Elephas maximus indicus: one gene and its partner. The protein of the gene in region 1 interacts with the protein of each later gene in a pairwise test. Links are inferred from orthologs where the notes say so. Each region holds a gene or a part of one and is shown on either strand. Other genes may lie near its edges.

Region 1 (11,001 bases):
CTTAACCACTGCGCCACCAGGGCTCCTTATCCCAAACTAAAAATTTAAAAAATTCCTTCTCTCTCACCACTAATGATATTAACTATCAACACCTAAAAACTCCAACTCTGTGTAATGCCCACAGCCTCTGCCTTAGTTCAGCTCATCATTACTTCTCTGCTCTCCAGTCCACCCTCCTTCCAAAGAGAATCCATTTATCTTCTAAAAATTAAATCTCACCATACTACAGCTGATTGTGTATGGCAAAGTAGAGGATCAACGAATGCAAGAGAAACCCTCAATAAGATGGACGGGCACATAAGCTGCAACAAGGGACTCAAACATACCACTTATCATGAAGATGGCGCAGGACTGAGAAATATTTTGTTTTGTTATGCATAAGGTGGCCATGAGTCAGAGCTGACTCTATGGCAACCAACTACCTCAGCAGAGGATTCAGTCCAAACTCCCTAACAAGGTCCTTTACAACCAAGTTCCAGTCAACCCTCCAGTCTCACCTCCAACCACTCTTTCACACATACACACACACCCTATGCTCTTGCCACATTCAATTACATTCCCTGAAAATGCATGCGTTTACCTGAAAAGCTCTTCCCTCCAACTCTCCATCTTCCAAACTCCTCTATCTTTCAAGACATATCTTCACAAAAATCTTCCCTGATTTGTGGTGCAGACACTCCCACCACTGTGTCCTTACAAACTTTGATAACTCTCCTTTGGCATTTGTCATCCTAAACTATCATTGTTTACATGTCTACTTCTCACTGGACCAAACACCCAAAGACCCTGCCCTGATGACGCAGTGGCTCTGTGGGAGAGAGATGTGGCAACCTGCTTCCGTAAAGATTACGGTCTTGGAAACCCTATGGGGCAGTTCTACTCAGTCCTACACGGTCACTATGAGTTGGACTTGACTGGACGGCAACAGATTTGGAGTTTTTGGTAAAGACCTCTGAATCCTCAGAGTCTAGCACACTGAGCACTGTGCTTGACACACCAGATGTCTTGGCACACAATAAATAACTGTTGAATGGAAGATATGCCTGGTAGTGGGAATCATAGTAGGCTTCTTAACGTGAGGTTTAGAGACAAGAGCTCATAGAGAGAATTCAGGGAGTCCGTGAACTTGTGTTATTTTCACTGAACTCCAACTGAAGTTACCATTTTCTTCAAACATAAGTGTAGACAAAAAATCATTGTACTATTAGCAGCACCTATGACTCTGTCAATACAAACATCACAGATACCTTTATATATTTCAGTAGTTATAGATATCTAAAAATATTACTTATACTCATTTCTTTGAAATTAAAATAATCAGACCCTTCACTAGATCTTTTTGTGTTTAATTTTTTTTTGTAATTTTTATTGTGCTTTAAGTGAAAGTTTACAAACCAAGTCAGTCTCTCACATAAAAACTTATGTACACCTTGCTACATACTCCCAATTACGCTCCCCCTAATGAGACAACCCGCTCTCTCCCTCCACTCTCTCTTTTCGTGTCTATTTCACCAGCTTCTATCCCCCTCTACCCTCTCATCTCCCCTCCAAGCAGGAGACGCCAACAGAGTCTCAAGTGTCCTGATCCAAGAAGCTCACTCCTCACCAGCATCCCTCTCCAACCCGTTGTCCAGTCCAATCCATGTCTGAAGAGTTGGCTTCGGGAATGGTTCCTGTCCTGGGCCAACAGAAGGTCTGGGGGCCATGACCACCAGGGTCCTTCTAGTCTCAGTCAGACCACTAAGTCTGGTCTTTTTATGAGAATTCGGGGTCCGCATCCCACCGCTCTCCCGTTCCCTCAGGGGTTCTCTGTTATGTTCCCTGTCAGGGCAGTCATGAGTTAAACAGCCGGACATCATTTAGTTCTTTGACTAGATCTTTTTAACGTGCTGCTAAAGTATATACATTACTATATCACAGTTTGTAATATTTTAATAACTATTTCAATATAATTGGTTTCCTCTGTAATCCTATATTATTTTATTTTATACAATTAAAAATATTATTCTGAGAGGAGTCCATAGGCTTCATCAGATGCTAAGGGGCCCATGACACCCCTGTATTAAAAAGACCCAGAATAAATGAACTGCGTTGCTGTATATACATACAATAATGAAAATTTTACTGTTATAAATGCTCTCTTAATCTTTTTAATTTTATGGGGGCTCTGGGCCTACCACATCATGACCAATTTGCATAGTTTCCCTGAGAACTCTACCACAGCCCATCTGAACTTTGAACTCCTTTCTATTATGATCAAACTTCGACTAACATTTGATCATGACAGAGATTCTGGGTCTCTACCATTGTTTACTGTTATCTTTTTAGGCTTTTTGTGTCCATTTACGGTATAAAACCAAACCCACTGCTGTCGAGTCAGCTCCAACCACTAAAAGAGAAGGATCATTTCTAAAAATTATAAGAAGTTAGAGGTCAAAAGGGTCTTGAAGATAACTTTTTTGCATAAATGGAAGTGAGCTAATAACAAATAGCTGGTTACCTATACTTTTTGGTATTCCCCCCCCACCCTCTGCACTGACAACGCATTATAAAACCAATTCATTAATAGTTTTCTGATACATACTGCCATTCTTTACTTAACATTTTTCTCCCAGCTACCACATGCTTTTAAGGCAGCGTGATGAATGAGAAGGCAGCAAACCTGAGTTCTGGAATCCCCTCTGCCACTGCTTCTAAGATCTTGGGAAATCAACTTTACCTTTCTATGTCTCACCTAAAATCACTACATAATCTGAAACCATTACAGGATTCACTCCTTTTTACCAAGCTTACTGGCTTCGATAAATGCGTTTCCGACGACCTCCCTAGGTGACCCTGCTTTTAAGCAGTGGGCTGTCCCTTTCCTGGGAAGACACCTTGGGTCACCGCCCCCAAACAGCCTGGTTCCTCCTTTTAAAGACACAGACAAACTCCCTAAATTGATGGAGGCTTGCTCTCTCCTTGCCAACAGCTCCACTCGGCACCCCTTTTGCTGGCCAGCTCCTTCACTCAAACCTCAGCCCCTTCTTCTCTCTTCCTCATCAAACCCTTCCCTTTTTCTGGTGCTCTCGCCAATGAAGGGTGAAGAACCCTGGGGTACATAAGTCTTCAGTCCCTTGGGGGTTATAAAAACTTGCAATTCAGCGCCAGGACTCCGAGGGCTGCCCAATCCAATACCTCCGTCTGAACCCGAAGGTCCCCCGTTTCTAATCAAACCCACCTGGAGAACTGTCCTAGCCTTGACAGCTTGAGCTAGGCCCCCACGTCCCCCGGGTCGAACCTGTACTGGGGTCCTGAACACCGCCCATGGCCCAACTCGGCTTCAGGTCCTGCCCCCACCTAACTCAGTAGACTCCGGCCACGGTTCCATTCGGACCCAGTGTCCCTTCTTCGCGACCCCGGCCACGACCCCACGTCCGGCTCCCGCCAGTTCCCTGGGCCCCGAGCGCCACGCCGTGCAGACCCCGGCCCGGCCCTGCACTCCCTCGGGGCTCCAGACCCGGCGACCCACAACCCCCCCACCCCCGGCCAAGCCCCCGCTCCCGTCGGCGCCCCCGCCCGCAGGCCTGGGGCCCGCTCCCCAACATGGCGACGGGGACACCAGCCCGGCGGGCGGGGCGGCTCCGGGCCCGGCCCGTACTCGGGCCGCGCTCCACGGTCGGCCGGCGCCATTTTCCCGCGCCGGGCCCGAGCGGCACTTCCTTCCCGCGGAGCCAGCCGGGCCGAGATCGCGGACGCCCGGCGGGCCCACCCCTTACGGGCCCGCGTCGCCGTCGCCTCACCTGAGCGCCGCTCCGGCCCTCCCGGGCGGGCCTCGGAGAGCCGGCCCGGGCCGTGCGTGCCCGCAGCCCTCCGTGCGTCCGTCCGTCCGTCCTCGCGTGCGCCCGTCTGTCCGGCCGTCTGCTCCCGGCCGCCCGCAGCCCGACCCGCCAGGGCCTCAGGGAGCCGGCGGGGAGGGGGATGGGCCGGACCGGGCCGGTGAGGGAGGGGGAGGGAGGGAGGGAGCGCGGGAGGGGGCGGGGCGGACCAGAGGGGCGGGGCCCTGTCCACGTGACCAAACGTCCCCGGGAGCGCGAGGGGCGCGCGCCCGCTCACGTGGGTGCAGAGCATTTAGTGCTGGGATGGCATGGATTTGTGTCAGTTTCTCTGCTCCGTGATCTCACCAGTGGCTCCTGCCCCGACTTCTAACCACTGCACAACACAGCGGGAGCGCTCTGGCTGGGTGTCCTTGGGTAACTCACCTCTCCATGCCTCAGTTTCCTCATCTGAAGTACGGGGATAGTAGTTGCGATTGACAAGAGGAAATGGGAAAAGCATGGAAAGCACTTGGCACAGGGCCTGGAGCGTAACGAAGATAACAGCCTTTATCATTATTTGTCTGTAAGCTCCTCTCTACTTTTTCTCATAACCACCACACTAGCAAGCTCTGTAGGTGCTCAATAAATATATCCCTTTAGTGAACAAGTGCGTGTGGCCCCCTCCCCTCTCAAATGTGGGGAGGACCCCCCAGCACTGGACTTGATGTCATACAGCTCTGAATTCAGATCTGCCTTTCCCTCTTGATAGCTGTGTGATTTTTTTTGCCTCTCTGAACCTCAGTTTCTTCATCTGTAAAATGGAAGTAAAGAGTCTCTTATGAGCATCACAGAAGATAGAAGATGAGCAGATGGATTGTAAACTGCTTATAGGTGTCCTGGTCTCATCTTAGAAAAGAAGTCGGGAGCCCTTTCATTCACAGGTATTTATTGAGCACACACTATGTGCTCGGACTAGTGTAGTACCCACTTACAGCCTTTTCACATGCTCCCTGCACCCTCTCCAATCTATTCTCCACTCTGCTGTCAGAGTAACATTTCTAAGTCAGAAATCTGATTATGTTAGTCCCCTATTTGAAACTATTTGACAGCTTCATGTTGCTCTTGAGATAAAGACCAAATCAATGTCTTACTGTTGTCTTCCCCACCTCTCCAGGTGCATCTCAGGCCCTCTTCCATCTCTGGGCTGCAACCACAATGGTCTTCTTCCCAATTCTTTACACATTGTAATCCCTCCCTCCTCAGCACCCTTGCACATGCTCATTCTCTGCCTGAAATGCTCTGCCCCCCTTAGCCTTCAGATCCAAACTCAAATGTCACTACCCCAAGAACGCCTTCCCTGGCCATCCCCCCCAGACAGGCCCCCTTAGCAGCATGCACTTATCCTTGATAGAACAGACTAGGTGGTTTATTGCCACTAGAATGTGGACTCCCTTGTTCACCGCTGTTCCCTCAGCATGTAACACAATGCCTGGCACAGAGTAGGCGCTCAATCAATATTTGCTGTATGTATGGATCCTGTGCACTATACTAGGTGCTGAGTCCAAAAGGACAGAGAAAAGCAAAGAGAACAACAGTGCAGCTATAAAATTAACACCGAAGGACTTTGCAAGAGGCTGGACATTATTTTTTTGAAACTTTTGAAAAATTGAGGTATAATTTATATGCAGCAAAATGCAAAAATCTTAACTTTATACCTAATAAATTTTTAGCTATGTTCCTGTGTTAACACCTCTCAGATCAAGTTATAGAACATCTCTAACAGCCCAAAGGGTTCCCTTCTGTCACTTCCAGAACGTCCCCTCCCAGTCAATACCTGATTCCCCAAAGGTAACCACTACTCTGACTTCTAGCACCGTAAATTAACTTTGACAGTTCTTGAACTTCACATAAACAGAACTGTATAGTACGTACTGTTTTGTGTTAGCCTGGAAATCTGACAGAGCTAAAGAGTGACTATTTGGATAATGATACAATTAATGTGTTGCTTGACTGATTAGTTAATCTGAAAGACTGAACGAGAAACTCTGGTCACTTGATCCTATTTAGACAGGGGTCCTGCCAGCAGCCAGCCCAGAGGCTGAAATGACATCATCCACAGACCTCTGAGCCCCACAAAAGCTTTTGAAGGTAAGAAAGCTCTGAAAAATTCCACAACCTGAGCCACTGTCCTTACTTTTCACTTTCTTATCCATTTCCTTAAGCCAAGGGTCATTGGTTTTCCCGGGATCAGCAAGGAAACAAGGAGTTGAGGACAGAGGTGCCAACTTGGTTGCCTACACATCCTGGAAGTGAAAATAGCAGCATAAACAGGGTCCACAGCCCCACAGGAAGGCAACAAAGGAACAAGAACAGACCATGAACTGGCAGACAGTGTGCGTAATGATTACAAGCTTGGACTCTGAAGCCAGAATGCCCAAGTTCAGGTTCTAGCTCTGCCATTTATTAGCTATGTGATATTGAGCAAATCCAATCTCCTTGTTTTACAGATGAGAAAATGAGAGCACAAGGAGATAAATGACTTGCCTAACAGGGTCAGTTCTACTCTGCCCTTTAGGGTCACTATGAGTTGGAATCGACTCAACGGCAACAGGTTTGGTTTTTTTTTTTGTTTGACAGGGTCCAAAGCATTTTCTTTGTTTCATTTATTTTGTTTTGTGTCCCAAATAGACTGTAAGTTCCCCCAAGGAAGCTCTTTTTGAATAACCATCACTTGTAATATCACTTACCTTTTTTGTGCCTTAGTTGTGTTATCTGTAAGATGCAGATAATAAGGGCTCCTATCTCATAAGGTCCTCAGGAGAACTAAATGAATTGTTACATAAGAATGTCTAGAAGGGTGTCTAGCACAGATGATGGCCTCAACATGCAGCAGATGAACACAAACCTCTGAATACATTTTTAGGCTGTTTCACAGAGTGTTTTGAGCAAAAAGTAGTCCTAAGATGCCCAGCTTCTTGTTCCGGAATCAGACTTGGGTAAATAAAAAGCAAATCCATTGTTCTTTGATATGAGCAATTTATTCAAATGAGCATTTATTGAACTTCTATTTTCATATGTACATTAAGCTTTGAAGTGATAAAATTGATAGTGACTACGTGAATGATGTTTTTCAGAAGAACAAGTAACAACGAACATGGGGAAAAAAAAAAGGACAAACCAACCCAGAACGCACCAACATTCTACTCTCTGCAGGGCTCATCACAACAAAACCAAACAGGGTTACCATATGCAATTCGGGAAATTGTGCCCTGCAAGAGGAAACCACATCTAAGTGGGCGCTATTCCCATTATAGACATTGTAGGTTTGTAAATCTGTTGTGTTAATTTACCAGCAGATGGCAGTAAGTGCCTTGTTATTACAAAATACGCTCATAATTTTCAAAGGGAAATAATGTACACTCTTTGTACTTTGCATAAAGGCTTAGTTCGTATGAGCATGTGTAAAGCTGATGAATTTTCACAAATTGAACAAACCTGTGCAACCAGCATCTAAATCAAGAAACAGAACATTACCAAAAGCCAAACCAAACGCATTGCTATCAATTCCAACTCATAGCAACCGTACAGGACAGATTAGAACTATCCCACAGGGTTTCCAAGGAGTGGCTGGTGAACTGGAACTGCAGACCCTTTCATTAGCAGCTGAACTCTTAACCACTGAGCCATTACCAGGCCCCCAGAAATCCCATAGTTTCCCTTCCCCTCATTACCACCCTGAGAGCAGCATCCTGAATCCATAGATTAGGTTTGCCAAGTTTTAAACTTTATATATGTGTGTGTGTATATATATATACATATATATATATGTGTGTGTGTATATATATATATATATATACACACACACATATATATAAATGGATTCATACAGAATGCACTCTTTTTGGCTCCTTTGCTCAATTTTATGTTTTCGAGATTCATCTATATTTTTGCATGTAGTTGTAGTGTGTTATTTTCATTGCTGCATAGCATTTCACTGTTTGAATATCCTATAATTTATCCGTTCTACCACTGGTGGGCATTTAGGTTTTTCCTTTAGGGCTATTTTTAATAGTACTATTATGAACATTCTTTTTTTTTTTTTTGAACATTCTTGTACATATCTTTGGGTAAACATATGTACAATGTTCTATTGGTTATATACCTAGGACTGGGGTCATAGAATTGGCTTGTATTCAGCTGTAGCTGCCATACCCATTGCCATTAAGTGGATTCCAACTCATAGTGATCCTATAGGACAGGGTAGACCTGCCCCATAGGTTTTCCTAGACTGTAATCATTACAAAAGCAGACCGCCACAACTTTCTCCCATGAAACAACTGGTGGGTTCAAACAGCCGACCTTTTGGTTAGCGGCCAAGCATTTTAACCACTACCCCACCAGGGTTTTAGCTGATAATGCCAAATTCTGTGTATTTTTTAAAGCAGCTTTATTGATATATATAATACACATTTAAAGTATACAATTCACCCATTTAAAGTACACAATTCAAATGGTTTTAGTATAGTCACAGATATAAGCAACCACCACCATAGTCAATTTCAGAGCATATTTTCATCACCTCAAAAAGAAACCTCATACCCTTAACCGTCAGACCTCTCTTCTTCCACTACCCCAGCCCTAGCAACCACTAATCTACTTTCTGTCTGTATAGATTTGCCTATTCTGGATATTTCATATAAATAGAATCATACAATATGTGGTCTTTTGGATCATGATAATTGGATAATTTAGCATGTTTTCAAGGTTCATCCATGTTGTAGCATTTCTTTATATATATGGTCAAATAATGTTTCATGGTACAAGTATACCACATTTTGCATTTTCATTTCAGTTGGTGGACATTTTGGGTTTTTCCACCTTTTGGCCATTTTGTATAATCCTGTTATGAACAGTTGTGCACAAGTTTCATTTCTCTTGAGTAGACCTAGAAGTGTTATTGGGTCACATGGTAACTGTTGAATCACTTGAGGAATTGCCAGATTATTTTCCAAAGTGGCTGAACCATTCTGCATTCCCTCCAGCATTGTATGAGGGTTTCTAGTTCTCCACATCCTTGCTAACACTTATTATTATCTTTTTGATTGTAGCCATCCTACTGGATATAAAATGGTATCACCTTATGGTTTCGGTTTGCATTTCCCTGATTACTAATGATGTTGAACATCTTTTCTTGTGCTATTGGCCATTTGTATATCTTCTTTAGAAAAATGTCTATTTAGATCCTTTACCTATTTTTTTTAGATAAAATCACATAACCTAAAATTCACCATTTTAACAATTTTGAAGTGTTTAATTTAGTGGGTTTTAGTACATTCACAATGTTGTACAACCAGCATCACCATCTGTCTTAAGCTGGGTTCTCTAGAAAAGCAAAACCAGTAAGCATATAAATATATATAGAGAGAGAGAAGTCATGTAGAGGCTGGAATGTCCGAAGGCTGTGGATCAGGATAGAGGCTTCTCCTGATTCACATAGCCACAGGGGCTGGCGAACCCAAGGTTGGCAGGTCAGAGAGCAGGACCCTCGTTCACAGGCTGTGAAGATCACCAAATCCCAAGATTGGCACTAAGCTGCTAGCTCAAGTCCCAAGAACCGAAGGTCAGATGAACAAGAGGCATCTGCAGGATCCAGAACAAGCCAAAAGCCTTGGCAAGGAGAGTGTGAAGGAAGTAGGTGGCAGAGGGTGGAAAGATGAAGGCTGAGGGGGCGGTGAACTGCCACAGGCCCCGCCCCCACCGTTATCACTCAGCAGATTCCATCATAAGGGTGATCACATATCAAATTTCAACAGGGAAGTGACCACAACGGTATACAACTGCCAAAACACTAAAAATCATGGCCCAGCCAAGTTGACACACAATCTTAGCCATCACACCATCTAATTCCAGAACATTCCAACCACCACATTAAAAAAAACCCATACCTGTAAGGAATCTCAGTTCCCCATTCCCTCCATTCTTCTGGCAATCTTTAATCTACTTTGTCTTATAGATTTGCCTATTCTGGGCATTTCATATAAATGGAATCATATAGTATGTGGCTTTTTGTGTCTTCTTTCATATAGCATAAATGTGTTCAAGGTTCATCCATGTTGTAGCATGTATCAGTACTTCATTCATTTTTATGTCTGAATGATGTTCCATTGTATAGATATACCACACTTTGTTTATCCATTCATCCATTTATAGACGTTTGGGATGTTTCTACTTTTTGGCTACTGTAAACAGTGCTGCTATAAACATTCGTGTACAAGTTTTTGATTGAACACCTGTTTTCAGTTCTTTTTGGTACATAGGAATGAAATTGTTAGATCATAGTAGTTCTGTATTTAACTTACTGAGGAAACACCAAATTCTTTTCCACAGCAGCGGCACCATTATGTCTTACCACCAGCAAGGTATGAGGGTTCCAATTTCTTTACTTCTTCACCAATACTTGCTATTTTCTGATTTTTGTTTTATTTTTTTTATAGCCAACCTACTGGGTGTGAAGTGGTATCTTATTGTGGCTTTGATTTGTTATTTCCCTAATGACTAATGATGTTCAGTGTCTTATAGACTAGTTGGCCATTTGTATGTCTTCTCTGGAGAAATGTCTGTTTTCATTTCCTAGGGCTGCCATAACAAAATACCACAAATGGATGGCTTTAGAGAACAGGAGGAATTGATTGACTCACATTTCTGGAGGCTAGAAGTCCAAATCAGGATATTGGAAGAGTCAGTTCCTTCTGATGAATCAGAGAACTGCTCCATGTGTCTCTTCTGGCTTCTAGTGGCTGCTGGCAAACTTTGGTGTTCCTTCGGTGCTCATAGATGTATCTTTACACGGTACCTTCCCCCTGCATGTGTCATTGCCTGTCCACCTCTTTTATAAGACAAGTTATACAGGATTAGGACCCACCTTACTCTGATATGACCTCATTAACTTAACTGGTAGCAAAAAAAAAAAAAAAAACACTACCTCCAAACAGGGTCACATTCACAAGTTCCCCCATATATCTTTTTGGAGGACACAATTCAATCAATAACACTGTTCAAGTCCTTTGCCCATTTTTTAAATTGGGTTAATCTTTTTGCTGTTGTGTTTTAAGAGTTCTTTATATATTCTGGTTGTTAGACCCTTATCAGATTTACAAATATGATTTACAAATACTTTCTTCCAATTCGTGTGTTGTCTTTCCAT
Region 2 (10,774 bases), on another chromosome or scaffold:
AGAGGCGCCCAGAAGTAACCAACATGGACAACATCCTGCTTTAGACTTTGTTGTTGTTGAGTGCTGCTGAATCATTTTTCACTCGTACTGATCTCATGTGACAGAGCAGAGCTGCCCCCAGTAGAACTGCCCCCTAGGGTTTACTAGGCTGTCATCTTTACAGAGGAGCCCTGGTGGAGCAGTGGTTAAGTGCTTGGCTACTAACTGAAAGGTCGGCGGTTCAAACCCACCAGCCTGCTCCGCAGGAGAAAGATGTGACAGTTTATTTCCATAAAGATTAGAGCTTTGGAAACCCCATGGGGCACTTCGACTCTGTCCTAGAGTCACCATGAGTCAGAATCGACTTGATAGCATCTGGTTTGGTTTGGTTTTGGGTTAATCTTTACAGGAGCAGGTTACCAGGTCTTTTCCCCGGAGAGACCCTGGGTGAGCTTGAACCACTAAGCTTTATGGTAGCAGCTGAGCAGTTAACCTTTGTGCCACCAGGACCTCCCATCTCTGAGACAATAAATGTCTTCCTGAAAGGCCTTGCTACCCCCACACCTCCCCACCCTGCCGTGGTGTTTTTCTGTCACAGCAGCTCTAGGTAACTATGATGCTGCGCTTGGCCTACCCGCACGGTGGAAGTCGTCCTTGCTGTAGGTGAAGTCCTTCAGAAAGGTGATGCACTCCGTCTCATGGTTGTAGCGCCTGGCCGTCTCCAGCAGCATGATCTGAGGGTGGTGGGGACCAGGGGGAGGCTGGGGGCACGAGGGGGCCCTGTGTAACCCTTTAGGCCTCCCCTTTCGGCCCAAGTCAGGGGCTGGTCTCATCAGGATCACTGCTCAACCCTGACCCCTGCTCTCAGCTACATCACCGCTGGTCCACACGTGGAGCTCTCCAGGCTCCTTCCCTCCCCCAGGCTTCAGCACGCACTGCATCCTCCACGTAGCTCATGCTTTTCCCAGATCTGTACCAGGAAGGCAGCAGAAGTGTTCGTCTATCTTTGTCTGTCTGGTTCATTGCTCTATCCCCAACACCTAGGACAGAGCCTGGCACACAGTAGGCTATTGTTGTTCTTAGGTGCCCTGGAGTTGATTCCGACTTGTAACAACCCCATGTGACACAGTAAAACCGCCCCATAGGGTTTTCTAGGCTGTAATCTTTTACGGAAGCAGATCGCCAGGTCTTTCTCTTGAAGAGCCACTGGGTGAGTTCCAAAGCCAACCTTTTGGTTAGCAGCCAAGCACTTAACTGTTGTGCCACCAAGGCTCCTATACAGCAGACAATCAATACTTATTTGTTATCCTGGAGAAAGCCTTCTTGGCACACTCTTCCTAAAGCAGGCCCCTCTAGCCCAGTCCTCAAACTCAACCCCTTGTTCCTTTCTGTCCTGGGATCAGCAAAACTCTGATGGTCCTGTGAATGCATCTGACATCCACTACCTTCCTCTGTAACGAGTCCTTGGGTGGCATTAACAGTTAAGCACTCGACTACTAACTAAAAGGTTGGTGATTTGAACCCACCCAGAGGCGCCTCGAAGACAGGCCTCACAATCTGCTTCCAAAAGGTCACAGCCTTGAAAACCCTATGAAGCAGTTCTACTCTGCACACGTGGAGTCACGAGTCAGAACCGACTCAATGGCAGCTAAGAACAAGAACAACATCTTCCTCCATGGAATGTCTCCTCCAAGAGAGCAGGGACTGGTAAGTCCTGCTTGCCGCTACCCAGCATCTACCCTAGGGCTCCTCTCCAGGGTCCCTCGGAGGCAGGAGGGCAGCGCCTGCCTGGGGATGGGCGGGCCAGCCATTACCTCGATGGTGGATGCCTTGAGGAGAGCGATCTGGTCTTCTCGGCCCAGCTGTAGGAAGCCGGGTACCTGCTTGGCGAAGTCCACAATCTCCTGCACGGAGATGATGGCCAGCTCTGTGAAGTGGGCGAAGCGCTGCTGACGGGCATCACGGGACTGAGGGTCTGCACCCAGAGGCCAGGGCTGAGGACACAGGTGGCCAGAGTCACACAAGACTCTTCCCTGGAACCAGGGCCACGGGGGCACCTGGAGGCCAAGCCTCATCCTCTAGAGCTCCTGCCCTCCCTTGCTTTAGGCCACAGCCCTGCCGGCTCGACCCTGGTGTGCCTGGCCCTCCTCGAGGCTGCACGAGGGCCCATACCGTGACTTTGGGCTGGTCTGAGAAGGAGCGCTTGTTGCACTGCAGCTGGGCCGCCACCAACTGCTGGATCATAAGTTCCTGAGCCGCCGTTAGTTGGACGCCCTCTCCTTCCCCAGAGCCCTGGCTGCCCCCTTCAGGCTCCCCAGGGGAGGCCCCAGGCCCAGAGGATAAGCTGCTGCCACCTCCTGACCCCACGGGTGACTGCTGCTGCTGTTGCTTCTGTATCTTCTTCTTCCGAATCTGTTCTTCGGAGAGGACACCTGTGTGGGCACACGGACCTCAGCAGAGGCTCTAAGGAGAGTGGGCGCCGGGCTGGCACAGCCCCGCATCCCACCGCCCACACTTACACTGCTCCCTCATCCCCGCCTCTTTGCACTTCCGTAGTCGGCACTGCTGGCACTTGCGCCGCATAAAGGCGTCCATCTGACACGTTCCACCGCCCCGGCAGGCATAGCGCCCAGCCCCACCACGGACCACACTGCGCCGGAAGAAGCCCTTGCAGCCCTCGCAGCTGAGTACGTTGTAGTGGAAGCCAGAGGCCTTGTCCCCGCACACGCGGCACAGCTCATGGCCCAGCATCTTGGGAGCTGGGCCCTTCTTCCGCTTGCGCTCTGGCTCCTCCATTGGGTCTGGGATGACTAGGGTGGTCAGATGAAGATCATGAGAGAAGGAGCCACAGGGAGACAGGCCTAAGAGAGGTCCCAGGGTGGAAGCCCGAGCAGGGAGATGTGAACACCCAAGGAGATGGAGACCAGAGAGAAAGATGTGTCAGTGCACCCCAAAGAATGAATCAAAGCAAGAGATGACAAGGGGGAACGAGAGAGGCAAAAAATCAACAAGAGGCAGGGGCTTGCCATCTCCCCATCCTGGTTCTAATCTTTCTACCTTCCCAGATCCCACCTTGAGCCCCAACACCTACTTCCACATCCCATCCTGGGGCCCCATCTCACCCACGCTGCAGGCAGAGCCTGCCCCATCTGTGCCTGGGACATCGGGGTCTGGACCCCCAGGCCAAGGCTCAGGGCCCTCCTCCTTTATAGCAGGTGAAGAAGAGGGGGCTCCAGGCTGAGGGGGGCCATTTCCTGGGAGAGAGGCAACAGGGAGGCACAGTGAGTGCCTCCTTCCTGACCGATGTGTGTGTGTTGCGGGGGGGTGGGCTGGGTGTGGGTGCGGGACACTCACCAGGCAGGGGGCTGTCCAGGGAACTGGTGGTGGGGGTGGACATGGTGGGGTCACGGAGCAGCCTGCAATACAGGGGGATTATGAGCCTCAAAAGGAGTCCTGGTGGCGCAGTAGTTATGTACTTAGCTACTAACTGAAAGGTTGCTCGTTTGAACCCACCAGCTGCTCTGCGGGAGAAAGATGTGGCAGTCTGCTTTGGAACTCTATGGGTAAGGTCTACTCTCCTACAGGGCCACTATGAGTCACAATCGACTCGATGGCAACACATTTTAAGAGACTTGAGGAGTCAGGATGGGTCTCCTCTGAGCTAGTTACATGTGCTAATGAGGTCCCCTCTCCTCCTTCCATCTCTCCCAGACTCCTCCCCAACTCCATAAAGACGCCACCAGGAGCTCCTACCTTCAAACCCTCCCATCCTATTCTAAAAGGCTCTGCCCTTTTTCTGCTCCAGGCTCCTCCCCTCCCCATGTCCCCAGGTCTGGCCCCTTCTGCTCCAAGGCACACCCTACTAAGGTTTTTCCCTCCTACCTGCTACTTCCAGGTCCCACCCTCCTCCTTCAATCCTGCTAAGCATTCACTCCTCCCTCCCATCAAATTCCACCCCACCTGTTCTTATGCGGGTGGCCTGATGGTTAAGACCTACAGCTGCTAACCAAAAGGTCGGCAGTTCGAATCCACCAGGCACTCCTTGGAAACTCTATGGGGCCATTCTACTCTTGGCCTACACAGTCGCTGTGGTTCACAATAGACTCTTAGGCAACAGGTGGGGTCTTTTTGGTTTTACTTATTCAGGAACCCTGGTGGTGCAGAGGTTAAGAGCTACAGCTGCTAACCCAAAGTTCAGCAGTTTGACTCCACCAGCCCCTACCAGATATCCCATGGGGAAGTTCTACTCTGTCCTACAGGGTCACTATAAGGCAGAATCCACCACACGACTACTGGCTTGGGTACTCAGACTCCACGTCACTTCTTCTGAGCAAACTTTAGTTCTGTCCGCATCTTTTCCTTTCAGATCCTCACCCCCTTCTTTCCAAGTTCGGTTCTCATCTCCACCGCTCACGGCCGCCCCCAACATCGTGCTCCAAGCCCCGCCCCATCCGTACCCCCTCTCTACAAGCCCCGCCCCCTCCCCTCCCGTCAGGCTTTTCCCCCTCGCCCCATCATGCTCCGCCCCCACACCTCGCTCCAGGTCCCGCCCCTCTCCAAACACCAGCGGGGGGCGGGGCTCATGGCTGCGCGTGGGGGTCTTCGGGGCGGCCTCTCGCGGGGTCTCCTGGTTCCGTTACCCTGGAAACAGCCGGGGGGCGGTACGAGTTATGAAGGGGCGGGGGAAGAACGAAAGAAGGGGGCTGAATGGAGCGGCGCGGGAAGGGCTGAGATGCCATAGCCCCGGACTCCTCCCACGCCCCCCTCGGGTGCACCTGACTCTGTCCGCTTTCTCTGCTCCGCTTCCTCCTTCTCTGTATCCCCTTGAACGCCGCCACTGCTCCGGTCCCCTCAAAAGTAACTTCGCCACTTCTTCCGGCAACCCCGTCGTGCGTCACCTCCGGAAAAGGGCGGGGAGTGACAGATGACGGAATTCCGGTGCGCGTTACAACAGCTGAATCGGCTGCCCCGCACGAAAGTGGCACACCCACCGGAAGTTTGCCCCCTCCGGGTTGCTCCACTAGGGTGTGGCTGAGGAGTTCCGCGCCAAAGCAATCAAATGTCCTTGAGGGGGCGTTGCCAGTCCCCAACCTTCCCGTCCCGAGCTGTGTGGCCTTAGCGCTTCTGTGGCCTCTCTGGGCCCGCAGCCAAAGATTCGTTATTGTTAGGTGCCCTGGAGTTTAATCCGACTCATAGAGACTGTACGCATAACAGAACTAAACAACGTCCGGTCCTGTGCCATCCTCACAAGCGTTTCTATGCTTAAGCCCATCATTGCAGCCAATGTGTTAATCCGTCTTGTGGTGGTCTTCCTGTTTTTCACTGAGCCTCTACTTTTCCAAGCATGATGTCCTTCTCCACGGACTGGTCTCTCCTAATAACATGTCTGAAGTACATGACACAAGTCTCATCATCCTCTTTACTAATCAGCATTCTGTCTGTCCTAGATTCATACTTCGAGCATTCCATAATCCGATTGTTAGTGGATGTTACAGCTGTTTCTTCTCATTTTGAGTAGTGCCACGACAGCAAATGAGGTTCCGAAAGCTTTACCCCATCCACATCACTAAGGTCAACTCTATTTGAGGAGGCAGCTCTTCCCCAGTCGCCTTTTGAGTGCCTTCCACCATGAGGGGCTTATCATCCTGCACTATATCCGATAATGTTCTGAGACAGGTCTGGGGTCCTGAGGTAAAATTAACCCTCTTGCGAGCAGAAGCTGTAAAAATTCGAAAGCAAACAACATATGGCGTAGGCCGGACACAAGAGAACCAGTATCTTAACCTGAGGCTAAATTTTGAACAATAAGCAACCAGATTTCCCTTAATGCTTCCTCTTAGGATTGTTTTTTAGGCAAACCAACTAAAACTAGAATCCTGCATAGACACAGAAACGATTTGATTGCCCCATGTCATAATTAGTCCTGCCTAGGAACCAAGGAAACCCTGGCGCTTAGTCGTTAAGTGCTACGGCTGCTAACCAAAGGGTGGACAGTTCAAATCCGCCAGGCGCTCCTTGGAAACTCTTTAGGGCAGCTCTACTCTGTCCTATAGGGTCGCTATGAGTTAGAATTGACTCGACGGCACTGGGTTTGGTCTTTTGGTTTGAGGAACCAAGAAACTCATGTCAAGGAACTAAAAACACTGGACATATGTCACCAGATAAAAGCCAGGACCAATTTAGAAGCAAAAGGTCTGAGACCCACTTCTGTGCTAAGTCTTAGCTCAGCTGTTCTTTTAAATATGCTGCTACCCTTCCCCCCCCCCGAATGAGCTCTTTCTATATAATGTTGTCGTTAGGTGCCTTCCAGTCAATTCCGACTCACAGCAACCCTATGCATAATAGAACAAAACAATTCCCAACCCTGTACAAGCCTCACAGTCATTGCTATGCTTGAACACATTGTTGCAACCACTATGTCAGTCCATCTCGTTGAGGGTCTTCCTCTTTTTTGCTGACCCTCTATTTTACCAAGCACGATGCCTTTTCCAGGGACTGATACCTCCTGATAATATGTCCAAAGTACGTGAGACGTAGTCCGGCCAACCTTTCTTCTAAGGAACATTTTGGTTGTACTTCCAAGACAGGCAAATTGTGGAATGACATCATACATGGAGAAAGCAAGAGGTCATTAAAAAAGACAGGAGAGAAAGAAAAGACCTAAATGGATGTCAGAAGAGACTCAGAAACTTACTTTTGAACATCGAGTAGCTAAAGCAAAAGGAAAAAATGATGAAGTAAAAGAGCTGAACAGAATATTTGGAAGGGCAGTCCGAGAAGACAAAGTATTGTGAGGATGTGTACGAAAACCTGGAGATAGAAAACCAAAAGGGAACAACATACTCAGCATTTCTCAGACTGAAAGAACTGAAGAAAACTTCAAGCCTTGAGTTGCAATACTAAAGGATTCTACGGGGAAAATATTAAACAGCAGAAATCATCAAAAGAAGATGGAAGGAATACACAGAGTCACTATACCAAAAAAAAACTTGGTTGACATTCACCCACGTTAAAAGGTAACATATGATCAGGAACCAATGCTACTGAAGGAAGAAGTCCAAGCTGCTCTGAAGGCATTGGCGAAAAACAAGGCTCTGGGAATTGACAGAATACCAGTTGAGATGTTTCAACAAATGGATGCAGCACTGTAAGTACTCACTCATCCATGCCAAGAAATTTGGAAGACAGCTACCTGGCCAGCTGGACTGGAAAAGATCCATATTTATGCCTATTCCCAAGAAAGGTGATCCAGCCAAATGTGGAAATTATCAAACAGTATCATTAATATCACATGCCAGCAAAATTTTGCTGATTCAAAAGCAGGTGCAGCAGTGTATCAACAGGGAAGGGCCAGAAATTCAAGCCAGACTTGGAAGAAGACGTGGAACCAGGGATATCATTGCTGATGTCAGATGGATCCTGGCTGAAAGCAGACAACACCAGAGGGATGTTTTCTTGTTGTTGCTAGGTGCCGTTGAGTCGGTTCCGACTCATAGAGACCCTATGCACAACAGAAAGAAACACTGCCCGGTCCTGCGCCATCCTTACAATCGTTGTCATGCTTGAGCTCATTGTTGCAGCCACTGTGTCAATCCACCTTGTGAGGGTCTTCCTCTTTTCTGCTGGCCCTCTACTCTGCCAAGCATGATGTCCTTCTCCAGGGACTCATCCCTCCTGGCAACATGTCCAAAGTATGTAAGATGCAGTCTCGCCATCCGTGCCTCTAAGGAGCATTCTGGCCACACTTCTTCCAGGACAGATTTGTTCGTTCTTTTGGCAGTCCATGGTATATTCAATATTCTTCGCCAACACCACAGTTCAAAGGCGTCAGCTCTTCTTTGGTCTTCCTTATTCATTGTCCAGCTTTCACACGCATATGATGCGATTGAAAATACCATGGCTTGGGTCAGGCGCACCTTAGTCCTCGGGGTGACATCTTTGCTCTTCAACACTTTGAAGAGGTCCTTTGCAGCAGATTTGCCGAATGCAATGCGTCTTTTGATTTCTTGACTGCTGCTTCGGTGACTGTTGATTGCGGATCCAAGTAAAATGAAATCCTTGACAACTTCAATCTTTTCTCCGTTTATCATGATGTTGCTCATTGGTCCAGTTGTGAGGATTTTTGTTTTCTTTATGTTGAGGTGTAATCCATACTGAAGGCTGTGGTCTTTGATCTTCATTACTAAGTGCTTCGAGTCCTCTTCACTTTTGGCAAGCAAGGTTGTATCATCTGCATAACGCAGGTTGTTAATGAGTCTTCCTCCAATCCTGATGCCCCGTTCTTCTTCATATTGTCCAGCTTCTCGTATTATTTGTTCAGCATACAGATTAAATAGGTATGGTGGAAGAATACAACCCTGACGCACACCTTTCCTGACTTTAAACCAATCAGTATCCCCTTGTTCTGTCCGAACAACTGCCTCTTGATCCTTGTAAAGGTTCCTCATGAGCACAATTAATAGTTCTGGAATTCCCATTCTTCGCAGTGTTATCCATAGTTTGTTATGATCCACAGTCAAATGCCTTTGCATAGTCAATAAAACACAGGTAAACTTCCTTCTGGTATTCTCTGCTCTCCGCCAGGATCCATCTGACATCAGCAATGATATCCCTGGTTTCACATCCTGTTCTGAAACCAGCCTGAATTTCTGGCAGTTCCCTGTCGATATACTGCTGCAGCCGTTTTTGAATGATCTTCAGCAAAATTTTGCTTGCGTGTGATATTAACAATATTGTTCTATAATTTCCACATTCGGTTGGATCACCTTTCTTGGGAATAGGCATAAATATAGATCTCTTCCAGTCAGTTGGCCAGGAAGCTGTCTTCCATACTTCTTGGCATAGATGAGTGAGCACCTCTAGCGCTGCATCTGTTTGTTGAAACACCTCAACTGGTATTCTGTCAATTCCCAGAACCTTGTTTTTCGCCAATGCCTTCAGAGCAGCTTGGACTTCTTCCTTCAGTACCATCGGTTCCTGATCATATGCCACCTCTTGAAATGTTTGAATATCGACTGGTTCTTTTTGGTATAATGACTCTGTGTATTCCTTCCATCTTCTTTTGATGCTTCCTGCATCATTTAATATTTTCCCCATGGAATCCTTCACTATTGCAACTCAAGGCTTGAATTTTTTCTTCAGTTCTTTCAGCTTGAGAAACACTGAGCGTGTTCTTCCCTTTTGGTTTTCCATCTCCAGCTCTTTGCACATGTCATTATAATACTTTATTTTGTCTTCTCAAGAGGCCATTTGTAATCTTCTGTTCAGTTCTTTTACTTCATCAATTCTTCCTTTTGCTTTAGCTGCTCGACGCTCAAGAGGAAGTTTCAGAGTCTCCTCTGACATCCATCTTGGTCTTTTCTTTCTTTCCTGTCTTTTCAGTGACCTCTTGCTTTCTTCATAGATGATGTCCTTGATGTCATTCCACAACTCGTCTGGTCTCTGGTCACTAGTGTTCAATGCGTCAAATCTACTCTTCAGATGGTCTCTAAATTCAGGTGGGATATACTCAAGGTCATATTTTGGCTCTCATGGACTTGGTCTGATTTTCATCAGTTTCAGCTTGAACTTGCATATGAGCAATTGATGGTCTCTTCCACAGTCAGCCCCTGGCCTTGTTCTGACTGATGATATTGAGCTTTTCCATCGTCTCTCTCCATAGATGTAGTCAATTTGATTTCTGTGTGTTCCATCTGGTGAGGTCCATGCGTATAAAAATAGTCACTGTTTATGCTGGTGAAAGAAGGTATTTGCAATGAAGAAGTCGTTGGTCTTGCAAAATTCTATCATTCCATCTCCAGCATTGTTTCTATTACCAAGGCCATATTGTCCAAATACTGATCCTTCTTCTTTGTTTCCAACTTTTGCATTCCAATCACCAGTAATTATCAATGCATCTTGATTGCATGTTCGATCAATTTCAGACTGTAGCAGCTGATAAAAATCTTCTATTTCTTCGTCTTTGGCCCTAGTGGTTGGTGTGTAAATTTGAATAGTCGTATTAACTGGTCTTCCTTGTAGGCGTATGGATATTATCCTATCACTGACAGCGTTGTACTTCAGGATAGATCTTGAAATGTTCTTTTTGACGATGAATGCAACATCATTCCTCTTCAAGTTGTCATTCGCAGCATAGTAGACTATATGATTGTCTGACTCAAAATGGCCAATACCAGTCCATTTCAGCTCACTAATGCCTAGGATATCGATGTTTATGCGTTCCATTTCATTTTTGGTGATTTCCAATTTTCCTAGATTCATATTTCATGCATTCCAGGTTCTGATTATTAATGGAAGTTTGCAGCTCTTTCTTCTCATTTTGAATTGCGCCACATCAGCATATGAAGGTCCCGGAAGCTTTACTCTATCCACTCATTAAGGTTGACTCTACTTTGAGGAGGCAGCTCTTCCCCAGTCATCTTTTGAGTGCCTTCCAACCTGGCGGGCTCATCTTCCAGGACTATATTAGACAATGTTCCACTGCTATTCGTAAGGTTTTCACTGGCTCATACTTTTCAGAAGTAGACTGCCGGGTCCTTCTTCCTAGTCTGTCTTAGTCTGGAAGCTCAGCTGAAACCTGTCCTCCATGGGTGACCCTGCTGGTATCTGAATACCGGTTGCATAGCTTCCAGCATCACAGCAACACACAAGCCCCCACAGTACGACAAACTGACAGACACGTGGGGGAGAGATGTTTACCTGTGTTTTATTGACAATGCAAAAGGCATTTGGCTGTGTAGCTCATAACAAATTATCAAAAACACTGCAGAGAACGGGAATTCTGGAACACTTAATT

Evidence for each region. The genes of interacting proteins can lie anywhere in the genome.
Region 2: the proteins of NCOA6 (region 1) and NR1H2 interact in a two-hybrid assay, tested with the Homo sapiens proteins (2 studies listed by BioGRID). The link is inferred for Elephas maximus indicus from reciprocal best matches to the Homo sapiens genes NCOA6 and NR1H2.

What each region holds. Positions count from the first base shown.
Region 1 is NC_064843.1:34,633,307-34,644,307, reverse strand, and holds the start of NCOA6 (nuclear receptor coactivator 6), read right to left. Parts: upstream 3,986-11,001; 5' UTR 3,783-3,985; intron 1-3,782. UniProt on the Homo sapiens protein: Nuclear receptor coactivator that directly binds nuclear receptors and stimulates the transcriptional activities in a hormone-dependent fashion. Coactivates expression in an agonist- and AF2-dependent manner.
Region 2 is NC_064829.1:98,026,504-98,037,277, forward strand, and holds the start of NR1H2 (oxysterols receptor LXR-beta), read right to left. Parts: upstream 4,886-10,774; 5' UTR 4,755-4,885; intron 4,621-4,754; 5' UTR 4,513-4,620; intron 3,396-4,512; 5' UTR 3,377-3,395; coding exon 3,334-3,376; intron 3,234-3,333; coding exon 3,102-3,233; intron 2,841-3,101; coding exon 2,499-2,840; intron 2,412-2,498; coding exon 2,152-2,411; intron 1,974-2,151; coding exon 1,794-1,973; intron 741-1,793; coding exon 614-740; intron 1-613. UniProt on the Homo sapiens protein: Nuclear receptor that exhibits a ligand-dependent transcriptional activation activity. Binds preferentially to double-stranded oligonucleotide direct repeats having the consensus half-site sequence 5'-AGGTCA-3' and 4-nt spacing (DR-4).